3 linked regions of the Arabidopsis thaliana genome follow. The protein of the gene in region 3 purifies or fractionates together with the protein of the main gene of each other region. This does not show direct contact. Each region holds a gene or a part of one and is shown on either strand. Other genes may lie near its edges.

Region 1 (10,884 bases), on a different chromosome or scaffold from region 3:
TAATTCATACTATATGAAGGTTCAAGTAATATATTTTTGGTTGCTTAGAAAATTGGAATTTTCTTATATATTGAACAGGCAATGCGTCTTTTCGTGGGTGGACCAGTGTGGACTGCTTATAATCGCCCACATGACCATCTTCCTGCAAGGTACAATGATGTCTTGTTCTCCCATATTGTCACGACAAAGCTTACTAGATCTGTAGTTATATATCTAAGCAAAGAGGCGACAAAAGTGTTTATGTATATTCAAACGGCTATTTTATAGGAAAGCGTATATGAAAAAATTCTTGAAGGTGATTGGGGACCGTAACATAGACGCTTCAGCGTAAAGAACTCTCGGGGATCAGATTTCTATAAGCTAAACATATGTTTAGATGTTGTCTTTAATTATGCTTTATTATGTTTACAACATGGAAACCGAAGACATTTTGGTTCATGTGTCTTTTGGCATTATTGTTGTGATTGTAATGTAAAGAAGAAGGAAAATGACAATATATGAAAGCAAGAAAATATATAAAACTATCGGTCACTATTAGTCTCAACCTACTGGTGTCTATGCATAATACATGATATACATCCGTTACTGTAAATAAATAAAATGATTATTTGAATTGAACACATTACTTATGGAGTATCCATAATCTCATGTTTTTAGAATTTGTACCCAATGATAAATAAAATCAAACAAAAGAATTTCTAGTCTTTTGTTATATTCTTGCCTCTTGGTGACTAAGAAATCGATACATTTAACTAAAAAAAAAAAAGATAAAAAAGAAGAAGAAGAAATCGATACATGTACACATCAAGTATATGTCTTGTTATTTTCCAGTTCATGTTTACTCCCTCTGTTCCTAAAAAAATAATGTTTTGGGTTTTTCACACAAATTAAAAAATGTAACTTTAATATTATTTTTATTACTTTTCTATTAATCTAATAATATAAATTTTACTTCTCTTTTCTCTCTATTGGTTACTAATAAAAATAATAATAATATTAACCTACAACATCAAACTTGATGAAACAAAAATAAAACTCAAAACATCAAACTTTATAGAACAGAGGGAGTATAAGATTTGGCTGCTTCAGACATTCATCTCAACCTTTTTCTCTTTCTTTTCTTTTCTTTTCACATGCACGTTAGTATATATTGTGGTGTAAAGTGTAAACTTTCGCTAGGAAATCACGTTCTCTAGCAATGATTTGGTTTTAAAAACATTGTTTTCCCCCTCTAATAAGATTATTACTCTGTTTTTTTATTTTGTTTCTCTTTGATATAAGAGTCGGAATCCACCAATCCAATTGACAGACGGTTCCAAAATATACATGTAGGAGACACCAAAGCAAGAAAGATTTATGTTCAAATGAGCTAATTAACATAGAAATATATTTTAAACTGAAAAAGATAGCTCATTGGAGTTTTATTTAAGTGCTAGAAAGTAAAGAAAAAGGAAATTTACTTTAGAGAATAGCCAAGCTATGATAGATTCCTAGATTGAGATATAAAATGATGAAAAAGAGAGTTGTTCCAAATGGCAACTCCCAGAGTTATAAAATCGATTTGGAACAATTGGTTTATGCATATGCCTTATGGGTAAAAGGATGAAAAAGAGAGTTGTTCCAAGTAAATTGACCCATAAGGCATAAATTAACCAAACTTCAAGACCTAGTTTATAGTTAATGCCAAGTACTTCCAACGAAGTCCATGATACGACTTTTCCACACGCGGTACTTTATTACTTCTAAATCATTTCGATTGAATAATTCATGTGCAGAAAATATATTTAAAACAAAAAATAGCTACTAGTATACTTGAAACAAGCTATTTCATCAATCATCACATCTGCATATTCAGAACCATTCTTATATCTTCCCGTACACCTCTTCTTGGAAAAAAATGGAGTTAGGAAAATCAATTGAGAACCAAAACAACGTCGTGGCAAGACTAGCAAAGAAAGTCATTGAAACAGATGTCGCCAATGGCTCCAATGTTGTCTTTTCACCGATGTCAATCAACGTTTTGCTCAGCCTCATCGCCGCTGGTTCTAATCCCGTCACCAAAGAAGAAATCCTCTCATTCCTCATGTCACCGTCTACGGATCACCTTAACGCGGTCTTGGCCAAGATCGCGGACGGCGGCACCGAGAGAAGTGATTTGTGCTTATCTACGGCTCACGGTGTCTGGATCGACAAGTCTTCTTATTTGAAGCCTTCCTTTAAAGAGCTTTTGGAGAATTCCTACAAGGCTTCTTGTAGTCAAGTTGACTTCGCAACCAAGGTAACTTTTTTCGTTAGGGATAAATTTTGCTTCAATTATTATGGGACCGAAACTTAGACTAATCCCTATAACATAGATATATAAAGGTGAATGTTCGTGTTATTTAAGACGTTTAATGTGGTTACGAAGGAGACGGCTATATCACATTCTCTTTTTTTATTTCTTCAATTTCTTGTGTATATATGACATCCAACTTCACTAATGATTGGTCAATTTTTATCGCTTGGTCATGAAGCCTGTTGAAGTGATTGATGAGGTAAATATATGGGCTGACGTCCACACAAATGGACTCATCAAGCAGATTCTTTCACGCGATTGTACCGATACTATCAAGGAGATCCGTAATAGCACACTTATTCTAGCAAATGCAGTGTACTTCAAAGCAGCATGGAGTAGAAAATTTGATGCAAAACTAACAAAAGATAACGATTTTCATCTTCTTGACGGTAACACGGTAAAAGTCCCCTTCATGATGAGTTATAAGGACCAATATCTAAGAGGCTATGATGGTTTCCAAGTTTTGCGCCTACCTTATGTAGAGGATAAACGTCATTTCTCCATGTACATTTATCTTCCTAATGACAAAGACGGACTAGCTGCTCTGCTTGAGAAAATAAGCACTGAACCAGGATTTCTTGATAGCCATATTCCACTTCACCGTACACCAGTCGATGCTTTGAGAATTCCGAAGTTGAACTTCTCTTTTGAGTTTAAAGCTTCAGAAGTTTTGAAAGACATGGGGCTTACTTCTCCATTTACTTCCAAAGGTAATTTAACTGAGATGGTTGATTCGCCTTCGAACGGTGATAAACTGCACGTCTCAAGCATTATTCATAAAGCTTGCATTGAGGTGGATGAAGAGGGAACCGAAGCTGCAGCGGTCTCTGTTGCCATCATGATGCCCCAATGTTTGATGCGGAACCCGGATTTTGTAGCTGACCATCCATTTCTGTTCACTGTGAGAGAAGACAATAGTGGAGTAATTTTGTTCATTGGTCAAGTTCTTGATCCTTCTAAACATTGATTGAACTATGTCGTGTGATGAGCGTTGTTCGGTTTGCAATAATGTAGGAAACCCCGTGGTCTTAGTGTGCTTTTCCATTGTGTCTCCTACTTAGCTGGAGAAAACATTATGAAATATGTTTGTTGTATTTTGTCTATATTTATGGTTTGGTGAAACTAAGTTTGCTTCTTCTTCTTTTTATTGCTTTGTGTAAGTTCTAATAGTGTACGTTCTTGTCTAGAAACCATTGTCCTCATTTTCTATCAAATGAACTACAATCCGGAGCAATTTATCTTGAAAATCTCAGCAAATAGATTACACATATTCTCTGCATTTTTATATATCCCGAATCATTTTTAAATCTATGGCATATTGGTCTTATAAACCTTTATCAAAATATGGGTTTACGTCGAATCTACCTTTTTCCGACTTTAAGGCAGACAATCTTGGTGAGAACATTGCCATCATCTACATTCTACATCATGAATTAGCGTTTTAATATTCATCTCTCCTTTCTCTTTTGCTTTATCCTCGGTTTCTTTTATTGATATTCTTTCATTTGTATATTGAACTTCTAGGCTCTAGCGGTACCTTTTAGCATTCATTTGTATATTTCTTTTCCCACATGCCAAATGTTGTCCCATTATATTAGTACCATTTAAAAGGATTATCTTACCAAAAAGTCACTACTAAGAATACTTTTTTCTACAGAGTTTATAACCTATAACGGTCAATATTAAACATCCCTCCTATAAAATACTAAATAATCTTAAATAATGTCAAAAGACCCTTTTTGTCAAAACAACCTTTTGACAAAAGATAATTGGTAGTTATTATGCTATATAGTTTTTATTTTTGTCACGTTTTATACTGTTATTTAATTATCTTTACACTGTATTAATCGTTACGCGCAAATGGATTGGTCCAAATGGGTCAACTTTGACTATTTGATATTAATTGGTGTCGAGTCTAATCTCTCTTTAGACTAATTAGCTATCAGTTTGCTAATTGCTTCTCTCAACCTCACTACAAAAAATAAAATTCACTACCATGAACTCTTGTTCTTTCCACAACTTCTTCATTTTCACCGCCGTGATCTTTCTCCGGTGTTTAAACCCCACCGCAGCAGCCACGTGTCATCCTGATGATGAGGCGGGTCTATTAGCTTTTAAATCGGGTATAACCAAAGATCCTTCAGGTATTCTAAGCACTTGGAAAAAAGGTACTGATTGCTGCTCTTGGAACGGTGTCAGTTGCCCTAACGGCAACCGTGTCGTCGTACTCACTATCCGCATAGAGTCCGACGATGCCGGAATCTTTCTCTCTGGCACAATCTCTCCGTCACTGGCCAAACTCCAGCATTTGGAAGGGGTCGTCTTTATCAATCTCAAAAACATCACAGGACCATTTCCACCATTTTTATTCAGATTACCACATCTAAAGTATGTTTACCTCGAGAATACACGTCTCTCTGGTCCTCTTCCAGCCAACATCGGCGCGCTTAACCGCTTAGATACATTAACCGTTAAAGGAAACCGGTTCATCGGTTCAATCCCGAGTTCCATATCCAATTTAACTCGGTTAAACTACCTAAATCTTGGCGGTAATCTCTTAACCGGAACAATACCGTTAGGGATTGCTAATCTCAAGCTCATTTCGAATCTTAATCTCGATGGAAACCGTCTCTCTGGAACCATCCCGGATATTTTCAAATCAATGACTAACCTTCGAATCCTCACTCTCTCACGCAACAGATTCTCCGGGAAGCTCCCTCCGTCGATTGCATCGCTCGCGCCGGTTCTTGCGTTCCTTGAGCTAGGTCAGAACAATCTCTCGGGGTCGATACCGAGCTATTTATCAAGATTCGTGGCGCTCGACACACTGGATCTCTCCAAGAACCGTTTCTCTGGAGCCGTGCCGAAGAGTTTGGCCAAGCTGACTAAAATTGCTAATATCAATCTCTCTCACAATCTTCTAACCAATCCATTCCCTGTTTTGAACGTGAAGAATTACATCTTGACTCTAGATCTGTCGTACAACAAGTTTCACATGGAAACAATCCCGGAATGGGTGACCTCAGCGTCGATCCTCGGCTCTTTGAAGTTGGCTAAATGTGGAATCAAGATGAGCTTAGACGATTGGAAAACAAGGCAAACTGATCTCTACGTTTCCATTGATCTTTCGGACAACGAGATCTCAGGGAGTCCACTGAGGTTCTTGAAGGGAGCAGAGCAACTACGGGAGTTTCGAATGTCGGGGAACAAACTCCGATTCGATTTGAGGAAGCTAAGTTTCTCGACGACGCTCGAGACGCTTGATCTATCAAGGAACTTAGTGTTCGGGAAAGTGCCGGCGAGGGTGGCCGGATTAAAGACACTTAACTTGAGTCAAAACCATCTTTGTGGGAAACTTCCGGTGACAAAGTTTCCAGAAAGTGTGTTTGCCGGCAACGACTGTCTATGCGGCTCCCCGCTAAGTCATTGTAAAGGTTAATGGATTCATTCATCGTCATGTTATATTGTTTTTGAACTTCATGTGTCACAAGTTCCATATTCTTCTTTTGTCTTTGTTTAATTTTCGTATTCTCTTTAAGTTCCTTTATTTACTGATTTTGTGTTACTGATTTTGGTATATGAATATCGCCACACAACACCTTCAAATCTTCTAATTTTTTTCTGAACTAATCAATTATAATGGAAAAGTTTCTAGAAAACAAGTGCGCTCTATACGTATAAAACAAGGTGAGACAGATTCGTGCATCGTTTATTCATGTGCAAATGTAGCTTATTATGTTGTTGTAGCTTATTTGCGATAAAAACATAGCTAGAGATTTGTTGTTGTAGCTTATTTTTAGCAAATGCGTTAGAATTTTTTTCTATATAGTTACTGAAATATAAAAAGGATGCTAGTAATTAACGAGAGAGTCGTATAAAACTATAAATTCAATATTTCTTTTATTTGTTGAACAACACGAAAAGGGAAAAAAAAATGCAAGTAATACGGGAGTGTCATATGAAGAATTGAAAACATATTTCCATAAGCCAATTGGATTTAATCAAGCAGAGACCGATGTTGTAGTTGGAGCAGGGTTATCGAACTCAACACACATTTTTAGCAGTGGCACTTCAGCGTCATCACCATATTCATCAACAAGGGATATGACAATCTTGGACTTATCCTTCTAATTAGTTTAAAGAAAGAAAAAAAAAACCGTCAGGCAAACCAAGTAAATATACTATTGTGGTTTTTAGATTGTTCGGTTTTAAAATACATTTATCAAAGTGAAACCGTTTGTCCAAAAATTAAAATAAAAAATACTTACATGAGGGAGTGACTGCAAACCAGGAACTTTGGAAAGAGTTAACACAAATTTTTCGCCAGGTTCAATAGAGCATGGATCCTCACCCATCACATCACTGAGGTCGTAATTTATTATAGTGCTATTCACATTTTCATATTTATACAACACATGTATAGTTGCTCTATAGATGATGTAGCCTGTAAACACAAATATATTTTCTTACAAGATAAGATATTGGAAACTATAAATGAAAACAATTAAAAGAATAGAAAATATTACGTACTATCATCACTTGTAAAGCCGGATATGGTAATGGTTGGCTCGTCGTAAGGCCCAACAGGGTATGGAGAGATCTCCACACGTGTGACGTTCGTAATACCGTAATTGTAGTCAATAGGTGCATCTTTAGTCGCACCGATTTAGAGCATGTTAACAATTGTAGAAGTTATCAGTAAGTCATGGCAGGTAAAAAAAAAACTTGGATCTACATCCTAATTTCTTACAAAAATAAATCCTAAATTTCTTTATTTGGAAATTTGGTATGTCAAATGATAGGGTCATAGGGGTAAGTGTTTCTTTATTTATTTATTTGTAGGATTAACAAAAGATAAATCTATTTTAAATTTCGATCAGATTTCAAATTGTTTGATCTATCTTTGAATATTGGAGGAACTCTGGACCTGCAATATTTTAGTTATAATACTCAGTTCTTGACTTATACACCACGGCTCTCGAAAACCACACTGAAGGAAAAAAAAAAGAAAAAAGTCTTCGGTGAATACTTCACAATTATTGGGTTATTTTATAGATGGGAGTACTTTCATAGTTTCATTGATCTGTTCTTTCTATATAAACGTTTTCACAGTAGCAAAATACTCTATTTCTGTTTTATGGAATTGACGACTAATGTGAGTTCCGGTTCAAGATTTATTTGGTAAAACAAAAAACAGAGATAGGAGCAAACCACAATCTATGAAATTCAGGCATATTCTTTTCATTGAATTGACTTATCAAGTAACAAGAATTGATGTTCTATATAACAATATAAGACTTAACAAAAACGATACTTACTTTTGCAGTTTTCAAAATTGTATGCGCCGGCGCCAAAAGCAGATAAGAAATAGAGTGATGATAGGAGAAGCAGAACAGGTTGGGCGTGAGATATCGCCATGGGTTATATCTTCGAAAGATAAAAAAGATTAATGCCTGTTTTGTTTTGACAAACAAGTCTGTAATACGTATGCTTAAATTCATTCATGCCTAGTATTTTATATAGTCTATATAATATAATATTCTGCTTAACTAGTGGATGATTCATCCCTATATAATAATCTTCCACGTTATACTTATTCCTATATGATATAATCCTAATTTATACGTGAGAATCTTAAAAAAATGAGTGTTGCCTGAAATCTCAATATTTCAAATATTACCACCTTTTATATACAAGGACGTGAATTCTTTTAGATAAAAAAAAATCCCAAAGATGGAGTTGTTTGACTGCGACCATGTCTGTTGGTTCGGCGTGATTTCCAAAACACAACTGTTATTAGCATCATACAAAATTTAAAACCGATCACAAACCGAAAAAACAAAAATGTATGCATAGATATACATTGCGCTTAAACCATATACTGGGGAACTAAATGGTCAACGTTAACGCAACATGGCATACAAATCTTATTTTTGAGATAAGATGAAATAGTAATAAAATAAAATAAACCATACCCGAACCACATGGTCGAAGCTAAACACAACCTGGCAAATACTTTCATTATTAGAGGTTTTTGTTTCCCCACTTTGAGATGCACCACCGGTTAAATAGGTGAATCTTTAATTTCTTCGACATGAACTCACACATGCCTGTGAATTGAAGAATTTGGTCATAGTTGGCAATACCAATGACATTTTATTTATATTTTGGTTAAAAATACAAATGACATCTAAAGTCATATTCTAAAATCTCGCTTTTAACGAAGCATATAAATATATCTGGATATTACTTTGATTCGGTCCACTAATTAAGCAAAATATTTTAATCTAATAGACTATAAAAATAGTAGGCATGAATAACATGTTTTATGATATATATATATATGATTTTGTGTTTTTTTGGATTTGTGGTTTTAGGACTTTAGGATTTTAAGATGTTTTTTTTTTTTAATATCTAGATATTTTTTAATTTGTTACTGAAATTTTTTCTTGGTTTTATTATAATATGTTTTTTAGATTTTTATTACTTATAAATTTTTCTTTTATTTTTATCTAGATATCAATATAACCAATTAAACCAATAAATTTTATGGTTGTGGATTTGAGTATATAAATTCAACTTATATAAATACATGGGTTGGGTCAAACTCGTCTATTAAAATCTCAAATCCATGTGGGTTTGGGTAAGGTTACTCATTTTGACATCTTTGGTTAAAATAGTTACCTCTAGTTTTGTTTCAGTCCCACATCTCAATTTGTTTTAACACAGTCATTTCGTCGAACACCTCATATGCGTTGTTGTTGTATACTAAATTACTAATACTTTAAACAAAGACTAACAAAAATGGCTTAATTCGATAATCAAAACCACTATTTGGATCAAACGTTGACTAATCTCACTTAAATCACTCTTCTGTTTTCCTCTAATGACGGATGAAGAACAGAGTTAGTTTTCAAGGTTTATCCACAGATCCACTGAAATCAACAATGGTGAATAAAGCTCCGAAGAGGAAACATGTATCACCTGAATCTCTCCTTCTCTCTATTCTCAATGATTTGTTGTTTCTAAATTCTCAAAAGCTTGACTCTTGTTTCCGTAGAAAATCGAATTCAGATGCGTGTAGCTTTATAGTTAGCTTAAATTTTGCAAAAGTTGGAAATTTTACTTCAAGATCCAATGAAATTGCTCCATTGATCAATGAAGCTGTTGCTAAAGGCAAGAACTTTGATACTGGGTGAGGACAAGAACCTTGTAGATACTGTTTTTCTTTAAAACATTTGTGTCTAAACTACATGTTTTGTTAGGACAAGAGTTGGATTAGATGTTGGTCATCTTCTTAAATCTGCATTAGCTGGAGGAATCTCATGTGCTTTCTCTGCTTTTTTGATGCATCCAGTGGATACTGTCAAGGTATAATGGTAATTTCATTTCAGGTTCTTCTTTTGTGTTTATGAGATTGTTCTGATTACTTACATTTGTCTTGGATCATTAAGACACAAGTTCAAGCATCAACTACATTGTCGTTTCTCGAAATATTGTCAAAGATTCCAGAGATTGGTGCTCGAGGTTTATACAAAGGCTCGATTCCGGCTGTTGTTGGTCAATTTGCTAGGTTTCATCTCTTATGCTTTGCCTTGTGGTTATTGGTTATAAGCATTATCATGATTTCATCTCTTGTTTAAACATTTTTCAGTCATGGTTTACGAACAAGTATATATGAAGCAAGTAAACTTGCGTTACCGCTCGTTGCTCCTACTCTTCTTGATATTCAAGTTAGTAATTGTAAAAAGCTCATTGCCAACTTTATTGCTACATAATGTTTCGTTCTTTGAATTTTTTTGCTTCTTGATTATTTTAGGTTCAGTCAATCGCGTCTTTTATTGGTACGGTATTGGGGACAACGTTGCGAATACCGTGTGAAGTGTTGAAACAACGGTTACAAGCCAACCAGTTTGATAACATAGTGGAAGCTACAGTTTCGACTTGGCATCAAGAAGGGCTCAAAGGACTCTTTCGTGGGACCGGTGTTACCCTTCTACGTGAGGTTCCCTTCTACGTTGCTGGCATGGGACTTTACAACCAATCAAAGAAGGTAATCATGATAGAACAGAACAATGACATGTCTTTGTGTAATTAATAAGACGTGGTTGCGATTGAGTTTCACAGGTGGTGGAGAGACAATTAGGAAGAGAGTTGGAGCCGTGGGAAGCCATCGCGGTTGGAGCCTTGTCCGGTGGTTTCACTGCAGTTTTAACAACGCCATTCGATGTGATTAAAACAAGAATGATGACGGCTCCACAAGGCGTGGAATTGTCGATGTTGATGGCTGCTTATTCAATTCTCACACATGAGGGTCCTCTTGCTTTCTACAAAGGAGCTGTTCCAAGGTTTTTCTGGACTGCTCCTCTCGGAGCCTTGAACTTAGCTGGCTATGAACTTCTTCAAAAGGCTATGATCACACCTCTGAATCAATCAGTGCATAGTGAGTAAGATTGGAAAACTAGACCAACATTTTGTGTTATAATAATTTATTTCATGTTTATGTATTCTAAATCTTGAGAAAAAAAAATATATTCTACAAAAATAAC
Region 2 (10,204 bases), about 17 Mb from region 3:
GTGGAAATGAATTTTAGGGCCACCAGTAACTTCAACGGCCACAGCACCTGAAAGATCAATTTCTCACCAAAAAGACATTGTAAGTTAGAATCCAAACCCTAAAGTTATCACCGTCAACAAATTAGAACTTTTCAAAAATCTAAAATCAATCAGCAAGAGAGATAGTAGGGAATGCTACCTGATGGGGTCCAGCAACCTAAGAGCAATTTGAATACCATAGTTGGCTCCATTAACTTGCTCTGCATCAAACCTCATTGTTCTGAATGGACCTCCAGTTCTTGACTGACAATCGTAAGTTCCAGTAGAGTGCCATCTGCAGAAGAAATCAGATCAGCCATGAGAACCTAAATATTAGAAACCAACCACACACTGATATAGTTAGTTATTTACGCATGATGCATATCACAACCAATAAAAATTAGCAATAAACGGAGACAAATGTGCTTACTTATTTTTGTTTCCTTTCGAATTATGCATATCACAACTAAGGCACAATGAGAACGATCACTAATGTGACAAATGTCTTGGTCATCGACTCTGGAATCAGAGAGGACATTAAAAAGCCTCAGAAATTGGTAGAGACACACATTGTCTTAAAAAGATGACTACGGTTCAGGGGTTTTGACAAGAAAGTGTACCTCTCAGTGCAAGTCCACCAGCCATTATTCAAGGATCATTAGTTCAAACCTTATTCCCTTTATACGTTGAATTTGTGCTTTATATGGCGAGAACTGCATTGATATGGATAACTGTGAATTTCAGTATAAATCAAGGTTACGAAACTAGAAAATGATTTACCAATTCGTCACGAAAGCTTACCTTATTCAAGTCTCTTTATCAACTCCTACATCCGCACACTCACACAAAATATTCCAGCAAGAAACACATCAATTAAGGAACAATATCTACATCAAACAGACAGAACCACACAACTTAAATATGAGAAAACACACAATGCTATAAAGCACTAACCTTTTTCTCAAATTTTGATACCCGGTCGGAGCTATCTTCTGAGATTAAAGTGGTTTTACATAAACTCCCATTGGTTCTAATAGAAAAGAGTTTAAAACGATGAAAAAGATTTAACAAGATTACCTTGTCAGTCATGAGTATATTAAAGCTCATCTGAAACTTTTGCTCTTTCTTCATAAAACCTGTTTTAAACTGCAAACAATGCTCGTGTACTTTTCAAATATATAAGTTAGTACAAGCTATAATAAAGCAAGTAGATAAGAAAGTAAGAAATAAGGGAACACTCACAACGCAATTTCTTGCCATCAAATGTGATTATTCACACTTTTTGCTATAAAAAAAATCATGTTAAAGTATGTTTTATGTTTCTTGAAGTTGCGTTTGGACGTTGTGTGTTATGTTTTTTGTTTGTGCATTTGAATTTCATTTTGTGTGTGTGATTTGTTGTGTATGTTCGAGTGTGGTTTTTCGTGGATTTATGTTCTGTTTTCTGTTTCTTTAAGTTGTGTGTTTTGGACGTTGTGTGCTATGTTTTTTATTTGTGTGAATTTCGTTTTGTGTTTTGGTGACTTTAAAATAGTTATGTGTGTTTGATTTTTTTTTTGTGCGTTTATGTGTAGGTTTTCGTGGATTTATGCTCTGTTTTTGATACAGTGCAAGAGACATGATAAGTGGGAGGGAGAGAGAGCGAGCTACTTAACCATACCTTTGTGGCTACTGAACTGTCTTCAAAGCTTCCTTACAGCTAAACAATCCTTCATCCTGAGAAACTTTGTCAAAAATTCCATTAGAAAGCTCTTGAAACCAAAGAAACCTTGTTAATAACACGCAGCTTAAACATAGAACGAATATTTAAATTTAAATGATCATAAAACCAAAATTGACAAAACATACAAAATCCTCGCTGCTAACATTTGGTTGCTTGCTCTGCTCAGGTTTTCTAAACAGGTAATATACATTGTTATGGAGCTGCTAATTGCAGAAAAAAACCTGTCTAATTGCGGTAAAGGAGAGAGATAAAGAGAGACTTCACCTTAATCATTGTACGTCTTTGCTAGCGAAATAGTCTCTCTATGGTTCTCTGCACTTGAAAGCAATGACATTTATTAGTAAGTCATCAACTAGTAAGATAGAGCGGTAGAGCCTATCATCTCTGAAATGGAGAAATAGACAAACATTATCTAGAGAATCAGGTAATATCTTGGAGACACTAAACACTAGAGCCAAAGAACTGAATCACTAAACAGAGAAAAATCATCACAAGAGGTTCTAAATGGATAGATTTTCTTAATCAAAACACATGTAACCAACGTTTTTCAATAACCTACATGATTGAATTGAAACTAGTACTAAACGAACACAAAATGAAGATCATCATCATCAGAATCATCACACTACTACGAAATTCACTGATTCTACTAAATTGCTAAGAGATTGATTACTATAAATGGATCAACAAAGAAACCCGAAGAAAGGGGTTTGTGATTCCTAACCTTATTTTGCTTAATCACAAGGATTTGTAATCAAGATTCAATTCCACAATTATGTTCTGAATAATCGGAAGAGAATTATGAAGTAAACGAAACAACCGATGAATCAAAAACAAACTTGAAATCGATCAGAATTGGGTTTATTATATACCTGATTGTTTGCGTAATATCGGAGGGTTTAAACCGAGTCAATCACACGCTCCTCTTGACGGCGGTGACAAGGATTTCCTCCCCAATTTCGTTTCTCATCCCCAGATTCATCACCGGCTGGAGCCGAAACAAGTTGATTCCGAAGAATTTGATAATTTGAATTGTAGAGACGAAGTATTTTTTGAGTCGGTGATGAAATGAATGGAACCAGAAAATTATATTTGTAGTGAGTGTTCTAAAGCTAGTTGATACGAAAATACTAAAATACCCCGTTTTATTCCGTTAGACCCATTTGGATTTGGATTTGAATTATAATTTTCCCCCTAATTTGAAAATTTTAGTCCGTTAAAACTTAAAACAAAAATTCAAATTACATATTACTTATGGTTGGATGTGCACTTTACTTAATTTGAGAATACTACCACGAGTGAGTTCATTAAGAAATTCTTAAGTATTACAACCCTTACCTTCATTCTAACGAGAACACAAAGCAATAACGAACACAATAACAATTAGATGATTCATTTTTTGGATCTAGAATATTTCTTAAAGTACAATGAATCCAAAAGCTTAATGTTCATAAGCCAACAAATAAATTTGAACAAAAATATAAACCAAAAATGAACCTATGGCGGGAGGAGCATTTCCTGTCGAAAACTAAGGTTAATCAGTAATATAATGATCAATCCTTTCTCTCTCTCAAACTAAGATTCAAAAAGCTCCAATGGAGTAACCTGAAAGACAAGAAGCGCATAAGAAAATTGGTTGAGGAAATGAATCATAAGAAGTAAATCGATTAGACAGACCATTATAGAGATTCTGCGACTATCTCTTAAACAAACCAACGTCTTAAATCTCTAAACTCACACTTAAACAATATGAAAACAACCTCTCCAATACTCTGATAACAAACCATGCCTCAAAATCGTGTTGCTTGTATTCTACGGAACAGGCATTATACTATTATAAGATCAAAATATATTGAACAAAATCTCGCAGCTTAATTTAATACTTAAAAAATCACAGGTCAATAAGATATACAAGAGGGATTACCAATATCACGCTTACCATTCCAATGACATGTGGTCAAGTCTTAAGATCGAGATTCACATTGATATCAGATCTCTTTATTTTGTTAATTAAGGTCTATATCATGGAGTATCTCTTTTACCGACAGAGAGTTGATTAAGCCTGTCATGGGAATATAAAATGATAATTGTCATGCTGTAATTACGGACACCACTAACTATGCAAGAAAAAACACGTTTGAAAATGAATAGAAATGAAATCAGACCTCGAGTCGACGACACTTCAGTCACTTCTCTCATTCAACAAAACACCATGAACTCTTGTTCCTTCCCTCTCTTCCTCTTTGTTATCTTTCTCCGGTGTTTAAGTTCCACGGGAGCTGCCACATGTCATCCTGATGACAAAGCGGGTCTTTTAGCTTTCAAATCGGGTATAACCCAAGATCCTTCGGGTATTCTCAGCTCATGGCAGAAAGATATTGACTGCTGCTCCTGGTACGGTATCTTTTGCCTCCCTACGATTCATGGCGACCGCGTCACCATGATGGCATTAGACGGAAATACGGATGTTGGTGAAACCTTTCTCTCCGGCACTATCTCACCGTTGCTCGCCAAACTCCATCACCTCAACGAGATTCGCCTCACCAATCTTCGAAAGATCACTGGATCTTTTCCCCACTTCCTCTTCAAATTACCAAAGCTAAGGACTGTTTACTTAGAGAATAACCGTCTCTCTGGTCCCCTTCCTGCCAACATCGGTGCACTAAGTAATTTGGAAATTTTGAGTGTGGCGGGAAACCGGTTCAGCGGTTCGATCCCAAGTTCGATGTCTAAGTTAACTAGCTTACTCCAACTCAAGCTCAACGGTAACCGCCTTTCTGGCATCTTCCCAGACATATTCAAATCCATGCGGCAACTTCGATTTCTTGATCTCTCCAGCAACAGATTCTCTGGAAACCTTCCTTCATCGATTGCATCTCTTGCACCGACTCTTTCTACCCTTGAGGTGGGCCATAACAAGCTATCGGGGACTATCCCGGACTATTTATCGAGATTCGAGCTTCTCTCCGCATTAAATCTCTCTAGGAATGGGTACACAGGGGTCGTGCCGATGAGTTTTGCCAATCTGACCAACATTATCTTTCTTGATCTCTCCCACAATCTGCTTACCGGTCCATTCCCTGTCTTGAACTCATTAGGCATCGAATATCTACATCTTTCGTACAACCGATTTCACCTTGAAACAATCCCCGAATGGGTGACCTTGTCGAAGTTCATCTACTCATTGAAGCTTGCAAAATGTGGGATCAAAATGAGCTTAGACCATTGGATGCCAGCAGACACCTCTTTCTACCATCACATTGATTTTTCGGAAAACGAGATCTCAGGGAGTCCAATAAGGTTTTTTAACCAGATGGATTTTATGGTGGAGTTCCATGCACCGGGGAACAAACTCCAGTTCGACTTGGGGAAGCTAAAGTTTGGAATCTTCTTGAAAACCCTGGATTTGTCAAGGAACTTGGTATTTGGGAAGGTACCGGTGACGGTGACCAGACTGCAGACACTAAACTTGAGTCAAAACCATCTTTGCGGAAAGCTTCCATCGACAAAGTTCCCGGCTAGTGCTTTTGTCGATAACAAGTGTCTTTGCGGCTTTCCACTTTCTCCTTGTAAAGCTTAGGGACAAGAAAAGCACAGTTTTGTATTTGGATTTATTATGACACGTAGCTCCAAATAAAATTTGTGTGACTATAATAAAGTGATTTAAAGATCCCAATGCCAATAAGCTCCATTACAACTATAGTGAATGTTAGTGAAAGTATGATTTCAACCCTTATGCACTATTTCCATGCAGTCGTTATGTTGGTACAAAATTGAGGATCTGAAGGCATTTGAAAGGTCACCAAACAGTCTCTCTGAGAAACATGAAGCGAAGAAATTCATATTTAGTCAATAGAACCACTGAGCCGGACAATGATTACCTCAACATGATACGAAATGATTAAATTTAATGAGTAGTAGTAGTATTCTAATACAAATGTTCCGATTTATGTAACGTTGGCTTGTATTAATGATGCATATGTTATGCTTGAGTGTTCTTATAAATTTGGTCGAACACTTGAAATGTAAACGGATCAGATCTTGTATTTAATTGTGCATGGGCTAAATTAAATACTTCTCTTTTACCTTTTTTGCCAATGAAAAGTTGAATAATAGTAAGGTCCGATAGGCCCATTAAAAAGCCCACAAACCCTTTAATCAGCTATATTCCCATTCCACTGCTCCCAAGTCGTCACCACCACTTCCCGTCCTCTCTCCAGTCACTGTTTCCGAAGCCCTAAAGTTTTCAAGGTCGCCGATTAAATCACCAAAGGAGGCGTTTTTATACTATTCCCGGTTCAACACATGGCGGAGGAAGAGGTTATCGCTATCCCCGTGCAGCCATCTGACCACAAGCGCAAGCTTGAGAATCTCGAATCGGAGATCCTCGAGCAGCAACACGCCGGCTCGATTGATAATGACGTTTCTGTAGATGATGACAAAAACGCATCTGATTATTGTCAGCCGAAGCGACCGAAGCTTGACGATGAAGCTGTTGATGGTTTAGGTATGTCTGATTCCTTTCAAAGTATGGATTTTGGTGGATGCATATCGAAAAGATTTCACCTTTGTTCTTAATATTCGTTGTTACGGCATTGTGTTGTAGGGATTGGGGGAACTGTAGAAAACAGTGGTGATGTTGAATCCAAGGAGGAGGGAACTGAGAAACCCATTGCTCAGAGTGATGAGAATCAAGATGGTAATCCTTTAATTGAGAAAGTTCAGGAGACCATTGATGCTGAGGAATCGGACAATAAGATGGAAGATAACGGTAAGCCTGAGGATAACCAACTAGTTACTCCTGAGGTTGTAACCTCTCAGGACGTTTCTGTTGAAGAAAGTAAGGAGGTGAACATTAGCGGTTCACAGAATGAAGGTGAGGATGATAGTAAGGAAACGAATGATGTTGTTGCTCAGAAAGAAGTTGAAAACGGAAGCAAAGAGGTCACTGATTGTGACTCTCAGAAGGAAGATGAAGCAAATGCTGGTGGCGAGAGTAAGGAAGTGAATGGCAGTGTTTCTCATGATGAGATTGGTGACGAGAGTAAAGAAGTGAATGGTGGTAGTACTCATAAGGAGGTTGATGATACTCAGTCCACGACTCGTCGAATAGATGTCCCGAGTTCAAAGGTGACTTGATTTGGTTTCGCTTTTGACTCTTTAGTGAGTAAGTTTTGCTGAGTTTTGGCTTCAATATATGTGATCTTGGCACACTTGACAGGTTGGCACGCTAATTGGTAAAGGTGGGGAGATGGTACGGTATCTTCAGGTCAATTCTGGTGCTAAAATCCAAATCCGGAGGGATGCAGAGGCTGATCCAAGTTCAGCTTTAAGACCGGTGGAAATAATTGGAACTGTTTCTTGTATCGAGAAAGCAGAGAAGCTTATCAATGCTGTCATTGCAGAGGTTTAAAAGTTTTCTTTGACATTATCCTTTTTTAAATCACAATCTTTTAGTTGTCTATGCTAAGAGTTGGCTACATTTTTCTTCTTCTGCTGCAATCCCAGGTTGAAGCAGGAGGTGTACCTGCCCTTGCTGCAAGGGGGGTCCCAGAACAGATGGAGATTAAAGTTCCAAGTGATAAGGTAGACCCTGGTAACTGTTCTGATTGGCCATTTTTAAGTGATAACTAATCCATCTTCAACTCACAGGTTGGTGTGATTATTGGCCGAGGTGGGGAGACTATCAAGAACATGCAGACAAAGTCGAGAGCACGCATCCAGGTGATTACTTCTATTTAATCTTGAATGTATGGAGAGTACAGAGAAAGATTGTGACAATATTGCTTGTTACGGGTAACAGCTGACTAAAATAGTTTTCATATAGTTGATACCACAAAATGAAGGTGATGCATCTAAGGAAAGAACTGTTCGTATTTCTGGTGATAAAAGGCAGATTGATATAGCCACCGCTTTGATAAAGGATGTTATGTACCAGGTTTGTCTTCTAATGTTCTTTCTCAAAACGATGTCATTGCTTTTAGTTTTTGCAACCATGTAAATTGCTTTGTTTTCATTAATCTTGGTGCACGATATGTCTGGTATACCGAAATGTTTGATAATCATATCCTGATAACTGCTTTATTTTGGCTTTATTTTCACCAATGCATCTACATAATTTTTAAGGTGATAAATCTGTGTTTTCGTGTTCCCGCTATCTGTTTGCTAATTTTCTCGTGCATGCAATCTCTGTAAAAACTAGCTTGTTACCTATGATCAACTATAGGTCCATTACCTTAATCATGTTGTTCATTTTATGCTGATTCACATTTGATTTATGTTTTTGGGGCATAGTCATTTGATTGTGGATAATTTTACTGTTTTCCTGCTTTAAGCATATGCAAAAGTTGTCTTAGTTTGAAAGTTCAGTGCAAATCTATGCGGGCTCCCCTGATTTAGTGAATAGGTGCATATTCATGTCCTAATGGAGTACTTGGTTCATACTGCTGAAATTAGAAGGATAGCTTGAGAAAATATGTACATATTGTAAGAGAACTGATAATTTTCTCCTGTTAAGAAGATCATTTGTTCCATCCTCGATGTCGCTTGCCATGATATTTAAAATTAAAGGTGCCGATCTCGAATTGGTGTTGGCTTTAAAAATGCAGATGTGGCTATTACCTTTCAATTGGGGTCAGCATTGCCTTGTACAATAGACATCACCCAGGTCTACGGATGAAGGTATTTGGCAGTTATCATTCACGCTTGCAGGTTCTAGTAGTCGGTAAGGCTGCTTTTGTTCTTTGAAAACTTCAGGACGTTAGTGTGAGCATGGATATATTGCAGTTCCGTTGTATAAATCTAGCTGCAAGACTTTAATGGCCTATATCGCTTGCTCTTATTTGATTAACGACATTGACGAGAATCTAGAATATATATGTCAACCGCCAAGTTTGCAATGTGAACAGAACTTCTTTTTTAGTACTCCTTCTACAACCAAGTCCATAAAAATTGTGTTATGTATGCTCAGATGATCATGGAATTACTTAAGGGGAGCCTGGATACCTTTGTGCTTACTAAATGATCATCTCTGATATTATTTCAAGCATGTACTGTAGTTTTAGGCTAGGTACTAAGTTGAGGCCAGACTTTATGTTCAGCTTGAAACAGCTTGGAATGCTATTGACAGCATAACTGTATGCAAAGTTATCACTTTTATTGCATATAATAATTTCTGGCCCATGTCATGTCTCCGAATGCCATCTGCATATGATCTGTTTGATGAAATTCCTTGCTGTCTTGCTATGTTCTTAGTCATATCCACTTTTTCGATTCTTTTGTCAACTTAGAGATTTTATGTTATGCCATTTTTAATTTGAATTTATAACAGTGCTTTCTTCTGTCAGCTGTATGATATATTATGTCCCACTTTGTTTTTCTTTAAAGGAGTTTTCAATTTTTTATGTTTTGTAGGATGGAAGGCCATCGCCCTATTCTGGTGGTTTTAACCAGCAGGCTTACCAACCTCGAGGACCAGGTGGTCCACCTCAATGGGGTTCGCGTGGTCCTCACGGGCCACATTCAATGCCATACAATTACCACCATGGTGGACCGTACCCGTCTCAAGGCTCACATTTCAGACCTCCCAATTCTGGTGGTTATCCTCCACAACATATGCCTCCTAGAAGTGGATATGGTTCTGGTTGGGAACAAAGACCTCCACATTCTGGTCCATATGATTATTACGGTAGGCAAGGAGGTCAAAACCCAGGCCCTGTGCCTTCTCATGGTGCTTCTTACTCCCAGGCAGGTGCTCAGCAGACTTACGGGCAGATGTATGATCAGCCACACTATGATAATCCTCCTATGCATCAATCTTATGGAGGATATGGTGGCTCCCAACAGGGCTATCCATCGGCAGGTGGTCAGCACCAAATGCAGCAGCCAAGTAGACCTTACGGTATGCAAGGATCAGCCGAGCAAGGGTATGGGCCTCCAAGGCCTGCAGCACCTCCTGGTGATGTGCCTTACCAAGGTCCAACACCAGCAGCACCGTCATATGGTTCAACACCAGCAGCAGCATCGTATGGTTCAACACCAGCAGCACCATCATATGGTTCAACTCCAGCAGCACCATCGTATGGTTCAAACATGGCTCAACAACAGCAATATGGTTATGCATCAAGTGCGCCTACTCAGCAAACTTATCCTTCATATAGCTCTGCAGCACCATCTGATGGTTATAATGGTACACAACCACCAGCAGTTGCCCCAGCTTATGAGCAGCACGGTGCTCAGCCAGCTTCTGGTGTGCAACAAACTTCAGGTGGGTACGGGCAAGTACCTCCAACCGGTGGCTATAGTTCGTATCCCTCCACACAGCCGGCTTATGGTAATACCCCGGCTCAAAGCAATGGAAACTATGGATACATTGGCTCTCAGTATCCTAGCTATGGAGGTGGAAACGCATCAGCATATGCTGCACCTACTGGCCAAACCGCTTATTCCCAGACTGCACCTCCT
Region 3 (10,813 bases):
TTGGGTAAGATTTGGAATCCGGTGACGCCTTTGTTAGCTGTGTTAGTCTGCCATTTGACTCGTCCGTCAGCTTCAGCGAGGACGAGGTTGCCGTTACGGCCGAGTGAGAGTGTAGCGTTTTCTCCGACGGGGTTGTTGCGATTCGCGTCCCATATCCAACGCATGGTAGACTCGTCACGCCTGAGTCCGACTCGGAGAGCTAAGATGTAGGCGCTAGGGGTAGTGTTGTAAAACAAGAGCTGGAATGGTGATGTGAAGAAGCTCTGGTTTGATGATTCGATGAATCTGTAACTTGCGTCGTACTCAGTGATGTATTCACCGAATTCTCCTTCGTTGACGACTCTGAATTGTTTCTCCGGAGGGACTTGAGCTATAACCACCGAAACAGTGGCAATGGCAAGTGCCAAGGTTACTAAGATAGCAAATCGAGACATGATTTTGTTTTCTTGTGTGAGTAAAGGAGTGAGATGATTATGTAGAAGATGTATCTTGTGTTGTGGTATATATAAGTTGTTTAGCTTTGTAATATTGGCCGTATTCGTTTGAAAAGTCAAAGTTGCTAATTGCGACTTGACTAATTAAAGAAGAAGAGATCAAGCAAATTGGTGCTGTACAATGGAGCCGATGGCGACTTATGATTTGGATAAGGTTTGTCTAGTGCAGATTATCGAATATTCGTCATAACTATTTTGCTTTCTGAATATCATATAATTTATTTTCTTGTCGAAAGAAAATGATTAATCCTTTTATGCATTTATCTTAATACTATCATTTTCTAGAAGACTTGAAACCGGATTTTCTGCCTATGAGAGGATAATGAGGATTGGTAAAATATCACAGCACCGTCTTGGTAAAATAGACTTGAAGCTGTGAGTTTAGTTAAGTTTTGAAGAAAAAATGTAGTTGTGGATTTTTCTTAGATGCCACTGCGAGGGGCCAAGATTTGGCTTTTTCATTTAAAAGTTTAAGTACACGTATCTATGGGTAGCAGAGATCCATGTATCTTATTCTTTACATGTGCACCAAACGAAACCCAAACAAATAATGGCTGACAAAGATATCTACGATATCAATAATATTGCGGCATCTTGAATTTACCAATCACATAAATCTTAAAATTTTTAAAAATTACGATGTCTAACCGGAACAAGTGTGGAAACTAAAAACACCTAAGAAGCATAACGTTTACACTTGTGCTTGATCCTCACAACAAGTTCAAAAAAACGACGAATGAAGAAAGACTTGACAAGCAGAAGAAAGCTTTGGAAACGCAAGGATTTGCTTGCTAAGTTGAAACCTGTGTTCTTCTGCCCATAAAATGAATCGAAGAGTAAGCTCCTTGACAACTGCTGCATTCCCCAGGATGTATTTGACAAGCTCGGTTTCGACCTGATTCTCAACCGAGCTGGATATCATAGCTGTGCTGTATATCGTAACAAACTTGAGCGATATTAGCAGACACTTAGGCATAGTTGATCTTGAGATATCCAATATATCTAGACGATGATCGTGAACCCACTACATAATATCAAGGACAAGAAACGAAAAACGTAATGAGAATGTATAGTTTAGTTAAGTAATTCAAGAGTTACTTATAAAAATAAAATTACCAACTCTAGAGATTTTAGGTTTGGACAGCTTGCGAGAAACGTTGGTAACAACTTTAAACAAGAGGAGTCCATCGAAACTTCCAAATGGGTTAAGTTAGAGAACTGAGGCAATGGTTCCGAGCTAGAGTAAGCATACATAGCCTAGCAAAAACCAAGAAGAATAAATTAGTAATAAGTTTTCGAGACAGATTAATTCAGGATGAATAGTTACAAAAATATACATACCTCTAGACAACAGTAATTGAGTGCAAGATTTGTGACATTTGATATCCAAGCAATAAATGTACGCAATGTTTTCATCGTCAATGAGTTAATAGGATTAAACTCTCCTTTAGAGATACTAATATCCACTTTGAGCGGAGAACATACACTATTCAGCACAAGGTCTTTAAACCGGTGGATTTGAAGATTCAGAGACTTAAGCCTAGGAGCATCAATCACTAGCCCAATTTTTGTTAAATCTTTGTTCCAATCTAAATCTCTTTTCCAAATACGCATTCTCAAGCTATATAGTGTCTGAGACCGCACTCGTATAACTTCCACATTCCAAACTTTTTCAATGTACAAAACTTGAAGAACTGGGGAGGATGAGATAAGCCTCTCTAGAGCCGCTTCGCTCGAAAACCAAACCGATAGTAAATGCATAGTCTCAAGACGAGGTAGAGAAACGGAGTCAAAACTATCAATGCCTACCTCGACCAGCTTCAAGTGTACCAATGTTTCACACATAGAAATGCTTCCCGGAAGTTTTATGGGACAATAATTGTTCTTATGCAAGAACCAAATATTTTAGCAACAACCACAAGATGCTGAACTCCACGGGTAACCACTGAGTCGACCCACTTGTTGAAAAGGGATCCTTCAGTCTCATACTTCCTGCCGTCAAATTCCAACTTCAATTGGTATATGAGTGATTTCTTATCCAAATCTAGAAACCTGTTGACAAAACCCTTTAACCCCTTGTATCTGAAGTTAGTTTGGTTAAGGTCCAATCCAGGAACACGTTGCCAAATATATCTCCATCTCGTGGACAAGATACTGGTTTTAACAGAATCTTTCGTCGCAAGTTTTAGGAGTATCTCATGCAGTACGTGGTCCGGCAATAATTGGCTAATCAAATCTTTGTTTTCCATGTGATTTCGTCTTTTGTAATCGTGACGCTTTTGTTTAGAGACCTCAGCAATGATGTAATGCTGAAAAATTAAGCAGAAAAGCACAGATCAAGTTAAGTAAATTCATAGTAGAGAGACTAAGAAGAACAACGAGAGAACTGACCTGCAGCGGCGCGATCCGATCACAGATAATGACGATGTAAAAGCGAAGCGATGAGAGATCGTCGGATAATTGACGACGGTGGCGACGCTTTCAAGTTTTTTTTGGTTTTGGGAAAGCGGTTGAAACGTAAGAGGAATATATTAATGGGCTAAAACGTGTCCTACAGGCCCAATTAACTGAAAATATGATTTATTAATACATGTATGAAAATCCTAACATGTACTTCTGTTATACGGCAGCTTGCAAGCCGACTTTGTAAATGAAAAAAAAAAAAAAAAAACTAGCCGAAAAGGTGACGCGGCGCTGAAGCATCGTATCACGCATCTTATTCTATCGACCATGATGCAATTGCAAATTCGCGATCCCATCTTTAATTTTGAAATATTTAGCTACGTAACAAAACTATTCAATACAATAATCTTTACAATCAATAATTAATTCCTCTGATGTATTACGTGCACTTGGGTCTTCTGCGTTACTGACAAAGCATAGTATTTTATGAATTACTCACTCCCTTTTTTTTTATTTGTAAGATGTTTAAACAATTTTGTTTGTTTCAAGTTTCTAAATTAAATCTGTATTTATTGGGAATACAGAAATGTTTAAAATCTGTCATTAGAACAAGAATTATGCAGTATTTATTTTCATTGGTTGAACTAGTTTTCATGATGCACAAAATAATAGTTTATTAATCTGTTTTTAGTCAAAAAATCTTATATAAAGAAATTGTGGGAGTAATAGCACCTCCAATGGTGTATCTTAGGTGTATCTTAGAATAATATCTTAAAATTAAACTATAAAAATTAAATCAAAATAAATTTAAAAACTAAGATTTGCTTCTTAGCTAAGAAGTTTTCATGAGTGAAAAAAACAGTTACATGTCATGTTTTAAAATTTTAGTATAAATAATTGTTAAGATGTTTGGTTAAGAACCAATTACTTCTTAACCATTGGGGATGGTAAGATATATCAGAAATTGATTCCTTTCACTTCACTTTGTATTAGGATTTATCTTGAGAATCAGTACACCATTTATTTTTAAAAAGGTACACAAACGAACCTTATTAAACACACAACACAATAATTTCATATATATATATGACTTTCAGACCTCAAAGAGTTGACTTTTTGTTTGCATTAGGAGCTTTGACATAAGCAACCAGGGAAGAATCTCCGGTTCTAGTCAATGTCTTGAGCTCGTAGCCCAACCAACACCTCGAACTCTTTCTATTGTAGAAAAACCCTAAACATTTGCAATCTCTCGTACACTTGTCCCCACACGCACTCTCCGTCGTCGATGATCCACCGTTATATTTTGTCATGAAACTATCAGCTCCTTCGATCTTGAAGTAGTGAAATGTCTTGGGATCGCAACTTGCGAGACTTGGAGATTTACATGTCTCGTCCCAACCAAGAAGCCCTTTGTCGCTAGGACAAGCGTTACACTGGCCTTTCTTACACAAACCAAACCCCAAACAATGCTCAGGGATCCTACACTCGTCGTTACCGTCAGTGTCGGCGTTGGTAAACGCCGTGTATGTCACGTCCCAAGCCGTGGAAGTCGCCAACGTACTGTAACTCCAAACTCTGATGTTTCCGTCTGATTCTAACCGAATAAAACTCAACGTCGCGTTGTGTTTCGGCCGTGAGAGGAACGTTGAAACGTTGAATTTAGAACCAGAATCGACACCTTCCATGACTAGACCCCACGTTGTGTCGGAATCTTCCACAGCTTGGAACGTCATTGACTGGAATTGTGTTATCTTGGTGAAGAATTCGTATTCAAAATAAGCGATTGGTTTCGGAGTTTTGTTTGTCGTGTAGTACAAGACTAGCTTCTTGGCTTCCATCACGAGACTGTACGGTCCGTTTGTGTTGACAGATGGAGACAGTCTGCTTACGAGTTTGGTCCGACCGTTGAGTTTCAAAGACTGTCCAACGAGAAGTGTGTCGGTGGGAGAATCAAAGCTCTGCCATACAAATTTTCCACTGGAATCGTATATTACCATATTGCCATTCTCCAAGATTTTGATCCCCACGGCGCCTTTGTTAGCTGTGTTCGTTTGCCATACCAAGCGTCCATCGGCTTCAGCGAGTACGAGGTTTCCGTCTTCGCCAAAAGTCAACGTCGCGTTTTCTTTGACCGGTGAGCCTCTGTTTGCTTCCCAGACCCATCTGAGAGTGGATTCTTGGACTCTGTTTCCGATTCTGAGAGCGAGAGTGTATGCGTTTGGGGTTGTGTTGTAGAAACAGAGACGGAAGTTGTCACTGAAGGGTACGAAGCCACGTACGTCGGGGTTGTATTCGATGGGACTGTAATCGGTGTAGCCACCTTCGTTGACCACTCGGAATTGGTCGTCGACTGGAACTTTGGCTTGTGATCCGATCAAGAAGATGGAGAGAGTGAAGCATAGAGCTAATGTGATTGAAAATTTCATTTTGTTTTTGTGTGTGTTAATGGATTTTGGTGTGTTTCTGGTAAAGAGAGAAAGCTTCTATTTATAGGAGGAGCCAAGGAAGTCTTTGTTTTTTTGTTGGTTTTATAATATTTTAAAGAGTATTTTGAACGACTTTTTGGTCTTTGTTTCGCTATAATCTATTACTTTTGCTGGTTTTGTTTGATTTTTTTTTTTTTTTTTAAAGGATATGTTTCGAATATTTTAGAAAGAGCTTATCTTAATCTCAATGCTAAACCGTGCACGATTAGCAAAACCAGTCAACCGTTACAGTTTGCTATTAATTTCCCTAGTAATTTTTTCTTCTTAGATTTATATTTTACAAAAAAATTAATGTTGTTTCAGTAAGAACTTCTATAATACTTTACCGATTGAATCCGGTGTGAAATTCAAAAAAGAAAAAATAGTATCATCAAAAGTATGATATGTTTCTCTTACAAAGCGAGTTGTTGGTTGATAACTATACTTTCTTACACTGCATCAGCATTAGTTAAATTGAAATTACTAGAGTTGCGTATTGAATCGAACGAAATAATAAATCACTCGTTTGAATGAGGACCCACCGACCAACAACTTTTAATTACGAGCCACCTGGAAGATGCTCATAGTCGATTCTCTCGTCTCGTTGGATTTGTCTTTAATATTTATTGACTCACGTCGCATTCGCATAGATTATAGATAGAATTTGATATATGATTCAGATAGAATTTGATATATGATTCAAATACATGCAACTTTATCTATCCTTATAGTTAATTGTCTTTCTGATATTAATCTGAACTATTCTGACCACTTGTTAATAAAGAAATTTGAAGGTGTTTTACAAAAATAAACGGACCATGGATAAATAATTATCTAATGTAAATGATCTAGATCGGATCTTTGGTGTGGTCATGTGTCCCAACTCCCAATACCCGGCGGCTTGCCAGGTGTGTGTGGGCACAGGTCTTATTCGACGGCTAGCTATTTTTGTTTTAAATTACTTTTGGCAACATTTTATTATTCTTTTCCGAGTCCATGTGCCAACTTGTATTTAGCATCTTTTTTTTTGTCCTCAAATCTTCTTATTACACAAGAAAGAAAATATAACTAGTTCCAAGTTACTACATGTCCTGTAGAATGTATTCAATCATACTTAGCTAAATTGTACACACTCCTACTAAGTTTGTTTTCCACGTACATATATATATAATTACATGCTGTCTAGAAAGAGATACGATGTCTTTGGCAAGAGTTTTGATAGAAGTTTTGCAGTTAGCCCTGTGTTTTTCTTGACTGGTGACAATCATACAAATTAAGCTTTGCCATCTCCAACAAACGTTACCTCATAATAACCCAAGTTTCTGGCTTGTTGAACTTCCATTAGTAAAGCTACTGGTTTTGCTTGAAGTGGGTTCTATTGAAGAACTACCTTTAATAATTTGATGGCCTTGTTTGTTATGCATTTATCATCAGATTTTAGCTTTCATATCTGGTGATTCCCGTGAGGCATCAACAAAACAACAATAAGTTTGACTTCTTAATTAGCCTTTTTAGAGCGGCATCATTTGGGAACCAAATCACCTCAAAATGCATTGTCTCGAGACGAGGTAGAAAAATTAACTCATAGCTATGCATATGTATATACTTCAGCTCCAATTAATATGCAATGTTTCACAAATACAAATGCTTATGGGCAGCTCAATATAGTACAACAATTTGTCACCCCAAAGTCCCAAACCGTCATACTAAATGTTCAGTTAATATTTCTATCGTTTATTTTTCGTTCTTTATACATTATATTAGAACCGACTCTTTGGTTCCAAATGCTAAATTTTTACCTCTAAAAATTTCTATTCATAAACAATGTTTCTCTGGTTTTGGCTTTTATGCCATCGATTTAATTAGACCAAATCAGCTCACAAAATGAAGAAAAATGAAGATTAGTGTTAAGTACTGTGTACCTTTTGTTCAATAATTAATTATTATGTTTGGGTAAAAAAAATCGATAATATATGCAGTAGAAAGCATTTGCTTGATATGTATAAACTATAAATAACACCTGGCATCTTTCAAGTTGACTTTTAAAAATCAAAGCTAACAACGAAAACGATGTAAAGTTATTAGTCTGCATGATTTAAGACATTATGTACATGTATAATAAATATATAAGAGCGTTGACTGGTCAAAAAAAAACGAGACAGATGACCATCTCTGTTAAGGTGACGCGGCGTCGAAGCGCCGTAGCACGCATCTTATTCGTATCATATTTATACCGCTTCTTTAATAATCCAAATTAAAAGTTTGAATCTTTCAATGGCTTGTCATGAGAAGCAAAGTGTTGTGTGCACGTTCTACTGCATTGCATCAGTGTCTAATAAAAATATAAAACATTTTTTCACAACGGAAAGTTAAGGTTTTTCTTGAAACATTACCTTCAAAATATGGTCTCAAGCTAAAAAAAAAAGAAAAACAGAAAACATGAAAGCTTAAACTCATTCATGATTCAATTTCTCAATTCAATCCTTAAGTATATCATATTTTGTGATGATACTAAATTAATGAATAATTTTATTTTTTTTGGTAAAATAATGAGAATAATTGAATTTAGCTGATGCGTTTCACTTCAATTTATTACGGTGTAGCTTGAGAATCAACATGCAATCATAAAACAAGATAAACCAATAGCAACACTTTTTCAGAAAAGAGAAAACAAAGGACAACGTAGCCTTATTATTCGTCAAAACGACACACAAAAACCTTTGTTTACGCTTCAAATGGCAAGAGCTGACTTCTTGCTAGCATTCGGAGCCTTGACATAAGCAACTAGGGAAGTATCTCCGGTTTTAGTCAATGTCTTGAGCTCATAACCCAACCAACACCTCGAACTCTTCCTATTGTAGAAAAACCCTAAACACTTACAATCTCTCGTACATTTGTCCCCACACGCACTCTCCGTTGTCGTTGATCCACCGTTATACTTCGTCATAAAACTATCAGCTCCTTCGATCTTGAAATAGTGAAATGTCTTGGGATCGCAACTAGCGAGACTCGGAATCTTGCAAGTCTCATCCCAACCAAGAAGCCCTATGTCGCTAGGACAAGCGTTACACTGACCTTTCTTACACAAACCAAACCCCAAACAATGCTCAGGGATCCTACACTCATCGTTACCGTCAGTGTTGTCGTTAGTAAACGCCGTGTACGTTACGTCCCAAGCCGTGGAAGTCGCCAACGTACTGTAACTCCAAACTCTGATGTTTCCGTCTGACTCTAACCGAAGAAAACTCAACGTCGCATTGTGTTTAGGCCGCGAGAGGAACGTCGAGACGTTGAATTGAGAACCAGAGTCGACACCTTCCATGTGTAGACCCCACGTGGTGTCGGCATCCTCCACAGCTTGGAACGTCATAGACTGTAACTGAGCTATCTTGGTGAAGAATTCGTATTCGTAGTAACCGATTGGTTTTGGAGTTTTGTTTGTCGTGTAGTACAAGACTAGCTTCTTGGCTTCCATCACGAGACTGTACGGTCCGTTTGCGTTGACCGATGGAGAAAGTCTGCTTACGAGCTTGTTTTGACCGTTGAGTTTCAAAGACTGTCCAACGAGAAGCGTGTCGGTCGGAGAGTCAAAGCTTTGCCATACGAATTTTCCATTTGAATCATATATTACCATATTGCCATTCTCCAAAATTTTGATCCCCACGACGCCTTTGTTAGCCGTGTTCGTTTGCCAGACCACGCGGCCATCGGCTTCAGCAAGTACAAGGTTTCCATCTTCGCCGAAAGTCAACGTGGCGTTTTCTTTGACTGGTGAGCCTCTGTTTGCTTCCCAGACCCATCTTAGAGTGGATTCTTGGGCTCTGTTTCCGATTCTAAGAGCGAGAGTGTATGCGTTTTGGGTTGTGTTGTAGAAACAGAGACGGAAGTTGTCGCTGAAGGGGACGAAGCCACGTACGTCGGGGTTGTATTCGATGGGACTGTAATCGGTGTAGCCTCCTTCGTTGACCACTCGAAATTGGTCGTCGACGGGAACTTTGGCTTGTGCTCCGACCAAGAATATGGAGAGAGTGAAGAACAGAGCTAATGTGGTTGAGAATTCCATTTTTTGTTATGTGTTTTTTTGATGAATGTTGGTGTGTTTTAGTATACTGAGTGAGCTTCTTTTTATAGGATGCAATGATATGCTTTTGAAACCTCGTCACTTTAGCAGGTGTATATTAATTTATCAATGCTATTCGGTGTAAAGTGAAGTGAAACAAACTTGTATAATAATTTGAAACAACTTGTATGATAATCTATCGATTCTTAACAGGTATAAAGTGATAATTTTCATTTTAGTCAATATTAATTATACTTGTTTTGTACAAAGTAACATGTTTCTTGTATAAAGCGAGTCAATATTAATTATACTTGTTTTGTCAGTTTTCAACTATAGTTTTTTATTTATTTCTGTAGCACCACAGCAACATTAGTTGGAATTGGAATTTTGAAAGGGTACGTGAGCACTTTGATATAATGTGGACCAATTTTTAATTACGAGCCACCGGAATTATGCTATTGGTCGTCCCGTTGGATTTTTGTTTTAATTGTTTATTCGACGCATGTGATGTGAGCATAGAGATAGCCTATTTGATATAATATTTTAAGTACATTATTTCATATACCGTTTCATTGATTTTTTTGAAATTACTCTGAACCAATCTGTTTGCCTTATATCAATCCATTTTCGGAAAATCGCCACTCCTTCCAAACTGAGGACCATACAACGTTATACCAACGGATCCGATAAGCTGCGTTATCTACACTTGGTTATTTTAAAATTAATTAACGTTTTAATGAGTTTGCGAAATATGGATGCGAAACAGATCCTCATTTTCATTTTCTTCAGTTGCTATGTTCCAATTTTTAGTTTTCTGAGTTTGATCACCAATTTTTTTGAGAAGTTGTTAAAGTATTTGTTTCCTTTTATGATTAATCTCAATCCACCTTTTTTTTGTCTTTGATATATTAGATCACTGTTAAAGGTGTGCGACCTGCAACAGAGTGGTCTTTTCCCGATCAAGTTAACATTTAATAACAACGTACAAAATGTATGACATAAAAAAGTGTTTTGACTAACGACTAACAGCGATACGACTAACAGTGGTTCAACTTGTGCTTGGCTTCGACTAACAGACGCTTCGACGAAATGTGAAGTAAAAACAATAATTGTTCAAGTAATATTCATACTTCGCCTAAAACGGTTTTTATATAAGCTTTTTTTAAATAAAGTGTGATTTTTGCACTTGCCTTTAAATGCGGAATTGCGGAAGTGTTTTCAAGTGTTACGAATAACTATGTTTTGACTAAAATGTTAGGAGTAATTTGCCTGACTAGTTTAGGAGTACGTGTTCGTGATTTAATATTGTGTTCAACAGTATAACTAATGTACTTCACTAAGTATGCTTTGTTTAGAAGTATGCTTGGAAATATATGTTTCGACTTTTAAGT

The links.
Region 1: the proteins of AT1G78850 (region 3) and AT2G26380 fractionate together in Arabidopsis thaliana (co-fractionation; one large-scale study listed by BioGRID). This does not show direct contact.
Region 2: the proteins of AT1G78850 (region 3) and AT1G33670 fractionate together in Arabidopsis thaliana (co-fractionation; one large-scale study listed by BioGRID). This does not show direct contact.

The regions. Positions count from the first base shown.
Region 1 is NC_003071.7:11,221,505-11,232,388, reverse strand, and holds AT2G26380 (Leucine-rich repeat (LRR) family protein), read left to right. Parts: upstream 1-4,265; 5' UTR 4,266-4,331; coding exon 4,332-5,774; 3' UTR 5,775-5,901; downstream 5,902-10,884. Other genes in the region: ARD3 (acireductone dioxygenase 3), read left to right, coding at 79-267; AT2G26390 (Serine protease inhibitor (SERPIN) family protein), read left to right, coding at 1,898-2,278, 2,514-3,302; AT2G26370 (MD-2-related lipid recognition domain-containing protein), read right to left, coding at 6,337-6,462, 6,604-6,779, 6,866-6,985, 7,654-7,753; AT2G26360 (Mitochondrial substrate carrier family protein), read left to right, coding at 9,229-9,530, 9,601-9,706, 9,790-9,908, 9,990-10,068, 10,155-10,388, 10,463-10,786.
Region 2 is NC_003070.9:12,198,010-12,208,213, forward strand, and holds AT1G33670 (Leucine-rich repeat (LRR) family protein), read left to right. Parts: upstream 1-3,953; coding exon 3,954-5,321; 3' UTR 5,322-5,399; downstream 5,400-10,204. Other genes in the region: AT1G33680 (KH domain-containing protein), read left to right, coding at 6,047-6,248, 6,348-6,871, 6,963-7,148, 7,250-7,327, 7,394-7,465, 7,569-7,679, 9,155-10,204.
Region 3 is NC_003070.9:29,638,075-29,648,887, forward strand, and holds AT1G78850 (D-mannose binding lectin protein with Apple-like carbohydrate-binding domain-containing protein), read right to left. Parts: upstream 5,462-10,813; 5' UTR 5,324-5,461; coding exon 3,998-5,323; 3' UTR 3,786-3,997; downstream 1-3,785. Other genes in the region: AT1G78830 (Curculin-like (mannose-binding) lectin family protein), read right to left, coding at 1-434; AT1G78840 (F-box/RNI-like/FBD-like domains-containing protein), read right to left, coding at 1,216-1,518, 1,611-1,751, 1,836-2,378, 2,411-2,743; AT1G78860 (D-mannose binding lectin protein with Apple-like carbohydrate-binding domain-containing protein), read right to left, coding at 8,094-9,425. UniProt on the Arabidopsis thaliana protein: May be involved in a cell-to cell programmed cell death (PCD) signaling mechanism.